Struthio camelus: one gene and its partner. The protein of the gene in region 1 interacts with the protein of each later gene in a pairwise test. Links are inferred from orthologs where the notes say so. Each region holds a gene or a part of one and is shown in the gene's direction. Other genes may lie near its edges.

Region 1 (7,557 bases):
AGTAGCAGCAGGGAAGATAACAAAAAGAACCTCCTAGAGGACAAAGTTCTTCTGTTCAGGGACAGGACAAAAACGTGATGGATCTGCATGAATTTAGGAAGTGCCTTTGCTGTAGCAAGAAGTTATGAAAGGATTAAAGAAGGATTAAAAGAAAAACCCGCACCAAAGAGACAGGCTAGGAGAGTGGTGCCCTTAACAGTCAAAGATGTTGATGGAGTAGGTCAAGACTGAGAGAGCTCACAAGAGAACAGCATTCTAGGTGGCATCTGGAAGTCATGAGCTGTGGAAATTAGTGAGGCATAAAAAGATTCTTCAAGCTGAGTAAGGACACCAAAATCAAGGCACCTTTTGTTTCATTATCTTTCAGACAGTGAAGCAATACAGGGTCTTGCTCCAAGCTCATCATCTTTTACTTGTGTGACTCTCACAGGGCTTGTAGCGGCCACGGTCCAGTTGCTTTTGCTCGCTGATCTCTTGCTGAGTATTTCAGCACAGTTAGTATTTTGCCTATCTTTAAAGGAAACACCTCGCTATGGCCATTGCTCTTTTGAGAAATAGTTTCTCCAGATTCCAGTTTTCATAAAATGTTGGAATCTGAGCTTGATGTTGTAAGTTTATCATTATTAATGACTAGATTTTACTGAGTAGCGCATTGGGACATCAACTCAGGTATGGCTTACTTGGCATTAGGCACTGTATTAACATGATAAGAGAAAGTCCCTGCTTTGAAGATCCTTGCTGTTTGTCATGGAAATTGGCTTGGGACAGAGAGAACATGCTAGTGTAGAACACAGTATGAAGTCAGGAAACAGAAAGACTCTTTTTTAATGATGTCTTGCATAGAGGTACACAGGAATGCTTTGAAAGTGAATTAGTTAATCAGGTAAAATAAGAAATGAACAGGAAACGCTGATGGTATAAATGTTAATCAATTCATATAATTCATACTTGTTTTTCTTTTTTTGCCAACTTGGACAGAACTTTACTGAAAAAGAAAAACATTGACATTATAAGAATGAGATCAGGGACTTGCATAAATATTTCAATTTTATTTATCTTCAAATCAAATGGGACCTGACAAATTTAAATCCTAACGGGGTCATCTAGGTGTATATTGCTACAATGCTTTTCCTCTCAGAACTAGACTGTTAGGTGGCAGAAGTAGCCATTTAGCATTAACGGTTGCACATACAATGGAAATACATCATAGAGAAAAGGGAATAGAAGTTTAATTTTCTTCTGATTAACTCTGGTTTTAATGCCATGATCTCTAGTGGTGGCATTTCTAAATCGCACCAGGTAAAGAAAGACTAGTAGGAAGAAATACAACACTGACAATTGTAAGTTTACTTATTTTTTAAAATTGAGGAAAATACTATTTTAGCCTTTCAATTTACTCACAAAAGCTTAACAATAGGGTCAGGACTCTCCTGCTTTCCTGATATCATCACAGAAGCTAGGGAAGAATGTGGTATAGCACCAGCCAGCTCTCATTACTGCTAAAGGAATGTGGTGTGATTAAACCTCCATACAGAAAGAAATGGAATGTAATTCTTACATGTTGATGTGCTTTGAACACATACCACATGCTGAGGAATGAGTTTCCAGTATATTCTTCTATTTCTAAAGATGGAGAGGACCTTACCTCAGAAAAATTAACTACAAATATCCTCTTCTGAAAATGAGTACTATTTGGTTAAAGACATTTGTTCACATTTTCCAGTGTCCAAAACCTCTAAATCCTTCGAGAAATATCTGAATGCAAAGCCTTCTTTTTCTGCCTATTGGGAAATTCAAGAATCAAAGCCCTTTTTTGTGCAGTCATGGAACAAAAGAAGTTTTTGTAGTTCCACTTTTTTTTTTTCCCAAAAGTTTTACTAACATAATACCAACCACTAAATTATTTTGTCCTTGTGGAGCCTTCTGCAGCCCCGCTGGGGTCCTAAAGATGGTTGAGCTTACCCCCTTCATATATAATTTCCTGCAACCCTTGAGACTGTGTCTCAGTCGCTAACTTCTGGCTGCAGACGACTCGGTGGAACTCCCTCCCGAGTCCAGCAGTGAGGCTGTCATCCAAAAGTGAGCTGTGGGGTGATGCAAGGCACTCCCTTCCCTCCGGATCTCAGCTAGCTACCTCATCTTGAAAGGATTTGTTGCTCAATGATATCAGCCCAGAGTGAAACACGGATCACTTGTCAGCAGTTAATGATGATATTTCCCTGCTTACCTCACAAGATCAGCACTATGGAGTGAAACCTCTTTTCACCCTTGAAATGGTAATGCACAAAGACAAACTTTACTGTAAATGCTTGGCTTATAAAACCCAAAGCAGGATCAGTGAGATATCTATTACCTTAATCTCAGAGTATTTTGAGAACTTGGGGGATAGCACTGGCACAAGAAACTCCCTGGATCATGAAATCTGTGTGAAATTCTTTTATTGGAAAAGTAGCACTTTCAGTCATCAGGTACTGTCAATATTTTTGGTCTCCCGCATTCCCTGCAGTTCTTGGCACTTCGCAATGCTTCCTGACCGCTGCTCAATGCAGTTTTTGCACAGATTCCTCACTGTCTGGCAATTTTACTCAGTGAAGGGGAACAGCGAATAGAAATACTGATTTCTCTATAGAATAGTGAGATATGATGGGACAGAAACATCCGTAGAACACCCAGGGTACATTTATAGTAATGTTTTTACAAAGCCAGAAGGAAAAAAGACTGTATTTTGCACCTGGTACGTTTGTCTGTCCAAGTGCAACCTGGTCTAGGTCATTTCTCCTCATGTTAGTGGAGAGAGGACACAGTCCTGACCTAAATGGGGTCATTACATGTTAGAAAAATCTACTGTAGCCTAGAAATATGTGAAGCATGTGAAAAGTGGCTTTATATTTTGTTTTTCTATTCTGTTCAGCAGTGGCCAGGTAATGTTGCAATATTTGCAAACCAGCTGCCATTTGCTTTATGCAGTTAGTTTTACAAAAGGCTAATAACCTGGCTGTATGAATTCGCAACAGATTGAAAATTTAATATGGCCTTACATCATTAAGGCTGGTTTTATTTATTTATTTTTTAATGCAGGAATCAGGACACCTGGAACGTCTTTGTGGTGTGTCTGTATTTACATAACTAAGAAATAACTTTTTAACTGTTTCAGTACAGCATATAAATTACATCTGTGCTGTGAAATTAATGAAGATTAGACTTGACTAGTTTTAAATGTTCTTTGCTTGAAAAAATGGCTAAGCAATGAATCAGTGCATTTTCTCTTATGCTTTGTCTATTCTGTAAAGAAAGGTCCATTACTAACACTTGCTAATGTTGTGATTAACAGGCATTGCACAGGAAAGAAATAGCTCTGTATGAAGAAAGGGCTCGATCCCAGGACTCCTCCACTCCCAGGTGAATTAACACTGCAGCAGTGGCGCCACTGCAACAGGAAGCACTGAAAACTTCCTCCTGCTGCTTGAGACATGCTGTGGAAGGAAGGAGATGCGAGTCTGCACAACCCAGCGCTCTGAGCACCGCATCCCACTTCCGAGGCCTTCAGTGGACCCCGGTTTGACTTAATACAGCCCAAGCACTGACCTCCGTCCGGATGGGACACCTCCAGGTATGCTTATGGTTCAGTTCTGCCTTCTGGGTGACTTTACCTGTGTTAGGTAGAAGCTACGTTATAAATTCAATGAAGCATGGGTCACGTTTTCATCCCACGTTTGAATCCTCATCCATAGGATGGATCCTGATCTATGACTACCCGTGCGATAATACGTTACAGGCTGCCCGTGCAATGACACAACCGCATGATTTGTGTGCAAAGCATAATAAACCATTAGTAAGGTTATGAGTAAGAAGAGGTGCTAGTCATCTTCTAACGTGAAGGTGACTGTGGCAACCTTCAGGGCTCGTCTGGGAGGCCCCATGTCCTCCACAGGCCCCCCTGAAAGCTGCCTGCCGGTGCTGCGTCTCTCGCCGCCCTCGCTTTCCTGCAAAGCCTGGAAGTCCCTGAAAGAGTCACCGACGGGAGCAAAATTAGGCCAGGCAGCGCGGATACAAGGCAGCTTTTCCCTTCTCCGGGACGGTCCTTTGCCAGACTTGGCTGCTCGTCCCTACAGAGCGCTGGCCACCAGCGAACTAGCCCAAAGTTGAGTGGTTTCCACCACCAGCTTGCCAGACCTCACTCAACGCAAACCATCACCCAGCATCAGAGGTGCTCAGCCGCGCCACCCAACCTCTCGGCGTGCCTTCGCCCGCCCGCCCCGACGGCCTTGACCCCTTCGGCTTTCTCAGTCCCCTCAGCTCTCCAAAAACAAACAAACAAACAAAAAAACCCCACACGGACACCCCGCTTCGTTACGGAGCTCCGCTCCCCTGTCTCCACGCCACGGCCGTGGGCACCTCCCCGCGCCCCACTGCCCGGGCAGGGGGGGGGGGAAACACCCTGTGGGAAGCGAGGGAGAGGGGAGGAGAAGGGAGGCGGCCGCCCGCCGTGCGGCTCCGTCGCCGGCTTTGTTGTGCTGGCCGCCGGGCTCCGGGCTAGGGGGCGGGGAGGCGAGGCGGCGGCATCTCCGCCTCCTCCTCCTCCTCGGCCCCGCTCATGGCGACGCTGGGCACATCCGGGCTTCTCCTCCTCCGCCTCCTCCTCCGGCGGCCGCCGCCGCTGTTGCTGCTGCTGCTGTTGCTGCTGCTTCCCTGAGCGCCCGGCCCGACTCCATTAGCGCGTCCCCTCCCCCCTGCCCGCCCCGTCTCCCTTCCCGGACCTAGAGGCAGGGGGAGCCCCGGGCCAGGCAGCGCCGAGCCCGAGGAGCAGCCGGGGACATGTCCAACCAAGGGGCCCGGAGAAACGGGCCCGTCAAGCTGCGACTGACAGGTGAGGGCGAGCGCGGCGGCGGGGCGGGCGGGGGCTGCCATTGCCTGCCCCCCTCCCCCCCCCCGCCTTCTCCGCCTTTGGCCTCCGCCAACGGTCCGGCGGCGGGAAGGGGGCGAGTTCGTGAGGGAAGAGCCGAGAGGAAGCGAGCAGGGGTTCGGGGGGCGAGGCGAGGCGGCCGTTGCGCGCCGCGCCGCGGGGCGGGAGGGGAGGGGAAGCCCGCCGTCCGCGGGCAGAGGCGCCCACGGAGCCTTTCCGCGCGCCGAGCCCAGCTGGAGGGGGGCGGGCGGGGGCGAGCCGCCTCCGTGTGTATTTGAGATTGAACCTGGGGCCGGAGCAGCCTTTCAGGCCTCTTGTCTCTGTGTGTGTGTGTGTGGAGGGGTGAACTCTTCCCTCGCCGCCCATCGTCTCCCCGCCATAGAGGGGAGGGGGGGGGGTCGTCGTGAGGAAAATGTCCGTGCCCCGCGGCGGCGGCGCCCAGGCTGGCGGTGAGGGGCAGCCGGCCGCTGCCGCCCTCCCCTCCCGGCCCCGCCGCCGCCGCCCTCCTCGGCGCGGGGGGAGCCGGCCGGTGTGAGCTCCTCGGCGCTGCCTCCCTTACCCTGTTCCTCAGCTCCCCTACCACCCCAACCCCCGTGTTTCCCCCCAACCCCCGGCCTTCTTCCCAGTGTAAACTTGAAAGAAACTGTCACACTCTTTGTTTTGATCTCTTTGTTTGTGTCCCCCCCCCCCCCCAGCCGACTTCCTCAGTTCAAGTCGTACCCAGTTGGTTTGCCCTCATGCCTGACGCTGCCAGCCCGCTTTCAGGAGATCGCTTGACCCCTCGTGTTTTTTAGATACCGTCAGAAACTCTTCACCTGCGTGCTGGGAAGGGAAATAAGTTATTTCTAAGTCCTTGAAGTATGTGGTTTGTTTTTTTTTTTTTTAAACAGTAAGAACCCAGGCAAATAGGTTTAGAGGAGAAACTCTGGGGAGCGTTGCTAGAGCTTTCCTGACAAAAAAAATGTGTTTCTTTCCCTTTTGAAAGAAAAGAGTTGATGAAAAATTTTGTAAACCCACACCAGCACAAAACACATACTTTGTGTTCTAATTCTTAGTGCATGAAGGCAAGAGACTAGAAAATAGTAGCTAATATTACTAATACTGTTGCCTTCAAATAGTGTGTTTTACCAGGATAGTGGTTCTGCTGGCAAAAAATATCCAATCAGCACTAAAAAAAAAAAAAAAACAAAGCTGGAAGGGTTGGTATATTTACTTTTAAGTGCCCGTGAAATATTTCCAGCTACTGTCTAATGAAGAGATGTTTTCCTATTTTTTCAAAATATGCTATTTTTACAGGGAAAATGAATGTATCTGCTTATGTTTTACTTTGGAAATACTTGGCCTAAATTTGTAATCTAGTTTTCATAGAGATTTGTGAGTGTCTCTATATTCCACTTAGAAATAAAACTCTTAAAATAAGCATAGCTGGGACTGATGCACGGAACAGTGCTGCCTTGTTTTTACAGTGTGTTTTGTAGCTTGCTCTTTAGGCTATTGCTGTACTGATGCAGTACTTAATTCTTTTTTTTTTCCTGAGTGCTCAGACTTGCTTTATTTTTGAAACATTAAAAATGGTCTGGAGCCTCATGTGAAAGTATGGAAAATACCTGTTTAGGGAGTTGTCTTTTTCACCTTTGGATTTCACGTTCTATATTTATTTTATTTTTATTAAGGACTAAGTATATAGTCATCTGTCTGTGACAATATAAATATGTTGTGGGGGATTATGACCGTGAGCAAGGAATAAGCAGCAGTTTTACTTACAGAGTTTTAGGAGACTGCGTAGCTGTGCAGTGCAAAAAGAAGCAGATACAATCTTAAGACGTGCCTCTGAGTTTTTTGTCGTCTTATATTTTAGGAAGGATATATGCAGAACACAGGATGCAGGCAAAATTGCCTTTATAGGGACTCTTCCAGCTCTAGCAGCTGTTTGCAGTTGCTGAGTACCAGTTCTGGTTTTTTGGAAGTTTATATGAAACATCAGCCTATTTCTCAAGTTAAAAATGCTTGAGGTATTTTGTGCTTTGGTTAATTGCATGTTGTTTCACATAAAGTCATTTGTTATAAGGAAGTTTTACATGTTTAAGGAAAGCTGTTATAAGCACTGAACTGAACTTTATTAATTGAACTGACATGTTGTCAGTTCTTGCCTAGGAATAGTTTTAAGCGCTCTGTGTGGTTTTGATTACCCTTTTTGATTGGAAAAGCAGTGTGAAGACTCTTGAATTCTAAAACTGTTTGGAATTAAAAGAATCTGTATATTCCAGTGTTTTTAAAAGTTTATTCTCAAACTGGCAAATGTTATTTAATCGTAATTTTCTTTGGCCTTACAAAACTAGCAGTCTTCTGTTTTGGCTTGAGTATTTATAGGATTCATTTTGCAATCATTGTGTAATGCTTATCTTTTCTGTTCATTATCTCTAAATTAGATAGTATAGATTAAAAAATGGATTTTGAGAGCTGGATTCAATTAGCAGTTTTTCAGGACATAAACATTAAAGGTTTAGATGGAAAACATTGTTTTGACTGACTGGATAAATGACAGGGTAATGTTTGATGTGAGTCCAAGAACTGATCTGGAGCTAGTGCCCAACTTCTCAGTCCATCTTGAGGAGCCAAATAAAATATTTAACCTAGGCCTCATTTTGCAGAAA
Region 2 (7,163 bases), on another chromosome or scaffold:
CAATGACTGCTCACACTGAAGGGCAGTGAAAAAAGTCATGTTCAGGATGGCCACAGTTTTACAGTCAAATGTAAGTCACTACTGATACCTGTACCTGTTTCTATATCTTTGAATTGGTAGGCCGCTTCCCTCCCAGGGCCATATTTTTAACCAGTACTTTATTCCATACCCCTCTGGGAGTGTGGAATAGCAGATTTGATCTTCTCAAGGGCAAGTTCTTCTTTTCAGCTGTTTCATGCTGATCTATTGTCTAGGATGTTAGGTGCATTACCTTCACCTGTAGCTCAAATCTAGCAACTTTGAGCACACAATGAAGATGGTCCTCACACCTTAACAGACTGCTAATTTATTCTTAGGTCAATAACAGATCTAATTTTAAAAGGCTGGAATATTACCTTCTGACACATGGTTGTTAGTGCCATTTCCTCACTTTGCTTGAGGACAAATGATCTGCAAATAACTGTGGTGTTTGAATTCATAACAAGATAAACATCACAGATAAGACCTTCTACTCCTCTATGACAAAAGTTTTTATTAGTATGATAAGCTATCTAATATCTTTTTCACAACAGTGATTTACTGTGCTTGTCAGTGTTTAGGGGACTGCTGACTTAAAGCACTGTGTCCACACAGAATGACATCATCAGATAATTAACCGGTTTACAGTCAAAATGGCATTTGGAATAAGTCAACGAAATTTATTTGCATACTGGCGAGTGGTTTTAGAGAATTCCGTATATTTCATTCACAACCTCATAGTCCCCAGGGACTCATGTTTGCTAACTTTTACAATTTAGTTTGGGATCCCTCCAAGGTTTTGAGAGGCAAAGATCTGAACGACATTTTAATTAACTTGCATATATATATATATGTACACACACACACATACATGTTATATATTATATATTGCCTAGCTCGTGTAAAACATTTGCACGTTATTAAAGCAGAAAAAAAAAGCAGAGATTTGAGGAAAAGCCATTCCTGTAAAAGTGCAGACAAAAAAAAGTAAGCCTACAGTGGTCGTTTAGATTGAAATCCCTTGATACAGCTCACCACAGCGTATCTCTTGCAAACAAAGATGAAGATGATGATGGCAAAAGAGATTACCTAGGCCTATTTCTGAAGATGCTGAACTACTGAAAATGCTGAGCGCTCTCTACTGACTGATTTGAATTGTTCTCTTTAGGAAGCATCATTTCAAGTGATCCATATAAACTATTCTCAGAGTGTGCTCTTACAGAAATAAAAGCAATCTATCACCTCATCATTTAAATCTACCCACGACTGACCTGTATTTCAGCAGTCTTTCAGATGATTTATTTAATCTATATCTATATTCTGATTAAACTAGATATTTAAGAATGAACCAAACTGTAGTAGGAGAGCTCTGAGATAAAGAATCATATACTGTTCCCACTCTTACCCAGGCATCCACTTATGGCCACTCTTTTGTTTTAGTGTTTTCTTTTTCTGTTTAAGTATTTATTTCACAGAAAAACTTAGGCTTTAAGAGACCCCTGAAGGTCATTTAGGCCAATCTTCATCTCAAAGCATATGCATCAAGTACATTGAATTGCTCATGGCCTTGCCCAGTTGAGTTATGAATCCCCCCAAGGATGGAGGTTTCACAGCCTCCATGGGCAAATTGTGCCTGTATCTGATCACCTGCGTGGTAAAAAAAAAAAAAACTCCTTATATTCAATTAATAGTTTCCCTTTCTGTAACTGGTGTCCATTGCCTTTTGCTGTGCACCTCTGAGAATAGTCTGGCTTTATCTCTTCCAAATCACCTGCTAAGCAGTTGAAGACAGCTATAACTCTCCCTTAGTCTTTTCTTCTTCTGGCTGAACAAACCCAGCTCTCTTGAGCTCTCCTTTATGTCATGGGCTCCAGCTCCCTGACCATCTATTGGTCTCCACTGGTTTCACTCCAGTTTGTCGACATCCTTCCTCTACTGAGGAGCCCAAAACCGGTCACAATGCTTCAGATGAGCTCTCATACATGATGAGTAAATGCAAATAACTTCTTCCCTTGGCCTGTCAGCCAACCATTCTCCCCAGTGCAGCCCAGCAGGCTGTTAGCCTTCATAGCCCCAAGGGTACACTGCTGATTTATGGTCAGCCTGTAGTTCACAGGGGTCGTTTTCTGTAAGGCTGCTTTCTTCGTCAGCCTCCAGCCTGTATTGACTGTGGAGGGGCAATTCCACATCAGATACAAGACTTCGCATGTACCTTTTTTGAACTTCATGAGGAATTTTGAGGACATGGAATTGCACTGATGGTCAGCTGAAATAGATGGACACTTGATCTGAACCATTACGGCAGCTCCTATGTCCTTAAATGCATATGAACTGCACAACATGATACTACAGGCAGGGCTGGAATCACTCTATCTTTTTGAGGTAAATTCATCCTGCAAATGCATATAAAGTTATCAGTGCTTTCAGCACTGCTTAGAAACAAAGCTGAGTGTCACTTTCCATCATAAAACTGTTTTTTATTTCCTTATAAACCTTGCATATATCCACATAACATAATTCAATGTCATCTACAATTACCTGAGCTCAAGCTACCATCTGTCTAAACCAATGTTTAGGGCCCTCCCCACCAGCTCAAACCACATCTACTATGCTCATTCATCTGCATGCTACATCATACTCTCTAATGAATGTCATCCTCATGTTTATTTGAAGAGAGAAATTGTCTCAGAAGCTGATCTGTGGTAGTCTCATCTCTCTTCCAGGTCACCAGGTAGAGAAAGGGACTGAAGAGCAGGTAAGTCACTAGTCAGGAACACAGAATTCCTAGACAAGTTTTGCTCTAGAAATCGTAAAAAATAACAATTTTCTAGATATACTTCAGAGCTAAACGCAGCTGAGAAACAAATGCATCTTCCAAGACTGTGCTGGGTAGGGCCACCACTAACTAAGCACAAAGTTTACTATCACTTTCCTATGATCTGCGGTTTGGGGTGTGTCAGAGAAAATTGATTCACAATTAGCACAGGCACAGCCAAACAACTAAGAAAAAACGTAAATTAGGTCTATCAGAGCCTTCTGATAAAATATCTATACCGTTCCTGGCACCTAGAATACAACCAAAACAGCTAGCTCAGGTAAAGAACCATGCACAGGGTAATAACACACATATGGCTTCTGTTAGACTTAAATCATGTGGCCTGAAATTTTCTATGTTAAAGTCAGATTCCAGAAGCAAGTAAATAATATATTGCTTGGTTACATTCAAAATTGCTAACAGCTTTTTCACTCTGGTGTCTTCCCGGTCTAAGATAGGTGCTTGAAATTTAGCAGGAACATTTTCCTTTGTTTCTTCCTACCATCAGTGCGCAAGCGCAGCTCCTAACTCCCACAGACAATGCAGTTAGGAAACAGCCTACTTCAGCTTCCCCACGGTCAGAAATGAGCCTCACCTTAAAAAAACACCTCCACTAACATGGCATCTCTCCTAGCAAAGAAGCAAGTCACTTCATGACCGCATGTGAAGTAACAGTCAAAATAAATTTGAAATATGAGGCCTAAAAGGGGAAGATTTTAAAGCTTTGGAATGATTAGGCTTTAGCTTTTTGGGTTTTTTGTTTGTTTGTTTTTATTCCTGTTTTACTACTGGCTGCAATTACAAAACTAGATGCCCTAGTTACAGCACAATACCCTGCTGTTTTTGCCTGTGCCAGTCACGACGCCTGTTCCCAGATGCCATGTTTCAAGTCTGGATTCCCAGCCCTGCTCCCAGGCTGCTCCCTAGAGGCAGGAGAGTGCCCGGCATATCTGCTGGAAAATGCCCTTTTTCCTTATACCGGACTAAGCCGGGGCAGACACAGATCACAGCTAATATTTATTAAACACCCTTTATTAATTAAGCTGCTATTATTAATAGCAGACATGATAAGAGCGCTCCGGGCACCAGCTCCCCTCACAGGGGAAGCATCACGGACACCTCCCGCCTCACCGCCCGGCCGAAACCGCCCCCGCCAGGGGCCGCGGCAACGCCCCTGCCTGGGCGGGGCCAACGCCCAGTCCCGCGCGCACCCCGCAACGGTCGCGCAGTGACGTCACGGCCGCCTGCCCCGCCCCAAGCCAAGAAGCAGCGCGCGCGCGCGGCCGCCTGACGTGGGAGGTGGCGACGGCGGCGCGGCTCGGTGAGCGCGGTCGGGTCAGCGCGGCGGCGAGCGGGCCGCGGTGAGGCGGTTGGGTCGCCTGCGACGCGGCCACTCCGGCGAGGCGGTGCGGCCCGGGCGGGGACCACGGCGGTTGCCCCCAGCCGGCGGCGGGCAGGCGGGCGCGGGGAGGTGCCTGAGGGGCGGTGACGGGCGCTCGGGTAGCACTGCCTCTCGTCCGGGGAAACGTGGGGTCGGCCTGCAGGTATGGGAAGCTGTGTCTTGTATTTCCTGCTTTTAAAAAGATTCGTGTCATACGGGTTGGGCCTGAGTTGTTTGTACCTGCGTATGGAAAATTTGCTGGCCGTGGTTGGGAACTGACAGGTCCACTGCTAATAACAGCGTATTAAATAGCTGTCTTGCATAGCTCTTTAATTTTCTGTGATGTTGACTGAATTTCTGCCCACAGAGTACTAGACTGTGGCAATGTCTTTGTACTTGAGTACTGTGAGGTACTGGGCAGCACAGTTGTGTGATGAAGGGAACTACCTACCTTATTAGTTTTTCCCTTTCCTTTTTAGAGAAGTGCCAGGTCGGCTAGGATTCAGAAGCCTAAAAACTCTGCAATGAGGGGATATCATGAAACTACAGAGCATGGGGTCAGGAAGGAAGCCCATTTATTGGGACAAAATAGGCTTGAGACAGCAGTACCAAGAGGGGAAAAAATAAACATATTGGCTAGGTGAATGTAGGTACTACATTCTTGGTGTAAGAAATTGATATAAATGAACTGTTAAAAGATGGAAGTTGTACGGAAGACATCAATAATTGTAAGAGAAGGAATTACCATGTTAGATGAGATCACCCACTTACTCTTTTGTCCAGTCTTTGTTTTTATCTGGCATTAAGTGCTTAAAAATTAGCTGTAAGCCATCACATAATGATCAATTTCAGGGCTACCTTTAAATGAACTAATTTAAACGGAGAAAAAAACCCTAGTTTTATCAGCTAGAAACTATCTAAGTAGTTTAAATTCTTTATAATGCTTGGTTTAATTCAGTATGTTCTTATTCTCAAAAGATAGTAATATTCTTTTAATTGCTTTTTCCCTAAAGAAATAAGGCTTAAACAATTCTGTCTGCATTGTAGTTCTTGTTCATCTTTGAAATCAGTGGCTGATAGAAAAACAGTTGGCATGTAGGAAGAGGTCTTGGCTTAAGGACATGTAGGAAGAGATCTTAGATGAAGGGGTTTGTTTTGGCTTTTGTTTACTTGTTTTCCTCCCTCTTCCCACCCTCCCCCCCAATTTCAGAAACAGGAAGTTGGAAACATCTTGTCAGTCAGGATATTTAATGCTCTTAATAAGCTTTAGGCTTCGAAGTTACCTTTTGGCAGTGAGGTCCACAATTTAACTGCTTTTAAAACAAAGTAGTTTTTTTTGTGTGTGATGCTTCAGAGGATCAATGGCCAAGTAGTGGAGATATTAGCCTGCAATATCAAGTTGAACCAGAGTTTTCCTGTTGCACTATAGCTTCTCTTGGCAAGTCACTTAGCATCACAGAGTACATCTGTTCTGATAAATGAAAAAGGGCTAGGGAATGAGCGTGAGCACTGGATTGATCTGTGATTATCTATAGTGTCTGTTAGCTCTTTTCTTAGCTCTGTTTTGGACCCGCTTTCTCAAAGACAAATTACTCTAAGTCTTATTTAGTGCTAAGAAGTACAAATCAGGGTAAATCTGTGTATTCAGTCATGGGACCAAAGGTTGGTTTGTTGTTCCCTCTCTTGTTTAGCAATATGCACTTTATCATTTGTTTCAACTGTAAAATGGAAGAAATAAGATGCTATATAGCACATAAATGGTTTATGGATAAATATTAAAGGCAAGGTACTTAAATACTATTTTAATTAAGATCATACATTGAAAATAATAGTGACCAAGGAGCTGGACTGCATATGAACATATTACTCTTTAAATGTTCTGTTTCAGAGAATATTTCTTTGCTCTTGTGTTGAGAGTGTGATCCAGTTGCTTTGTTTACTTTGATATACCATCATTATTTTGAATAACCTTGCTATTTCCAATTATCAGTTTGTCTTGAGATTAGGTACAATTTTCTCGGGAAAGGTGGCTTCCTATCTTATTTAGCGTTTTCATTCCCCTTTAGGCCTATTCTTTTAATAAAAAAAATTAAGAATGAATTGAATTCAGCTCTTTAGGACTTTAGTCATCTCTAGTTAAATTCTAAAGCTTCCTCCATCTCCACCAAAACGCATAGTGTGATGGCAGCTGTGCTATACAGATATCACAAATTCAAGGTGTTTCAAAGAAGAATCAGAAATGAGTGATAACACTCCTACTGTTTAGAATCGCTGAGCCTGCTTATGTATCTTTGCCGTGCTTGGCCATACACTACTGCCATGTATACACTGATCATGCTGACATCTCTGTTTTCTTACAGAACTGTTTTAGTGTTAACAAAGCCTGTGCTTTAGCAAGAACAATGTTGTTGACAGTGCTACAGGCATGCAATGAATAACAAATTAGTTCACCGTTGAAATGTAGCTACGACTTTAATATTTTACTTGATGTCACTTTTTTATACTAATAATTACAAGCAAAAGATATATTTAAAATCTAGATAGTGTCTTGGGCTTAGCCTCACCCAACAAAAATCAAAACACATGGAGCAAAACAGGCTATGGTACTGAATCGTGTTCACACAAGTGAATTGTTTTCTTAAAGCCTTAAGACTCAGTAAGGGACTTGTTGCAGAATTGGCTTCACAGCTACTGAAAGTGTCAAAATAGTGAGTTTTGCTCGAAAAGAAGTAAACATTTTCCTTACCTAAACATTTTCCGTGTCTTGGAAACTTTCAATAATTTTTAAATTGAAGTTCCTCACTGTAAAATTGTTTTTCATTTTTAAATTTTTTTTCTAATGAAAAAAGTGATTTTCATTAACATATACAGGTTTTGACACAAGATGATATGGTTTTAGCCACCCTTGTATTTTTCCTAACAAATGATTTGACCGTACATATCTTAAAT

Evidence for each region. The genes of interacting proteins can lie anywhere in the genome.
Region 2: the proteins of SMURF2 (region 1) and SPART interact in a two-hybrid assay, tested with the Homo sapiens proteins (2 studies listed by BioGRID and IntAct). The link is inferred for Struthio camelus from reciprocal best matches to the Homo sapiens genes SMURF2 and SPART.

Annotation. Positions count from the first base shown.
Region 1 is NC_090960.1:4,577,535-4,585,091, forward strand, and holds the start of SMURF2 (E3 ubiquitin-protein ligase SMURF2), read left to right. Parts: upstream 1-4,460; 5' UTR 4,461-4,815; coding exon 4,816-4,867; intron 4,868-7,557. UniProt on the Homo sapiens protein: E3 ubiquitin-protein ligase which accepts ubiquitin from an E2 ubiquitin-conjugating enzyme in the form of a thioester and then directly transfers the ubiquitin to targeted substrates.
Region 2 is NC_090942.1:196,624,363-196,631,525, forward strand, and holds the start of SPART (spartin), read left to right. Parts: upstream 1-4,074; 5' UTR 4,075-4,154; exon of another isoform or gene 4,155-4,239; intron 4,240-4,243; exon of another isoform or gene 4,244-4,377; intron 4,378-7,163. UniProt on the Homo sapiens protein: Lipophagy receptor that plays an important role in lipid droplet (LD) turnover in motor neurons.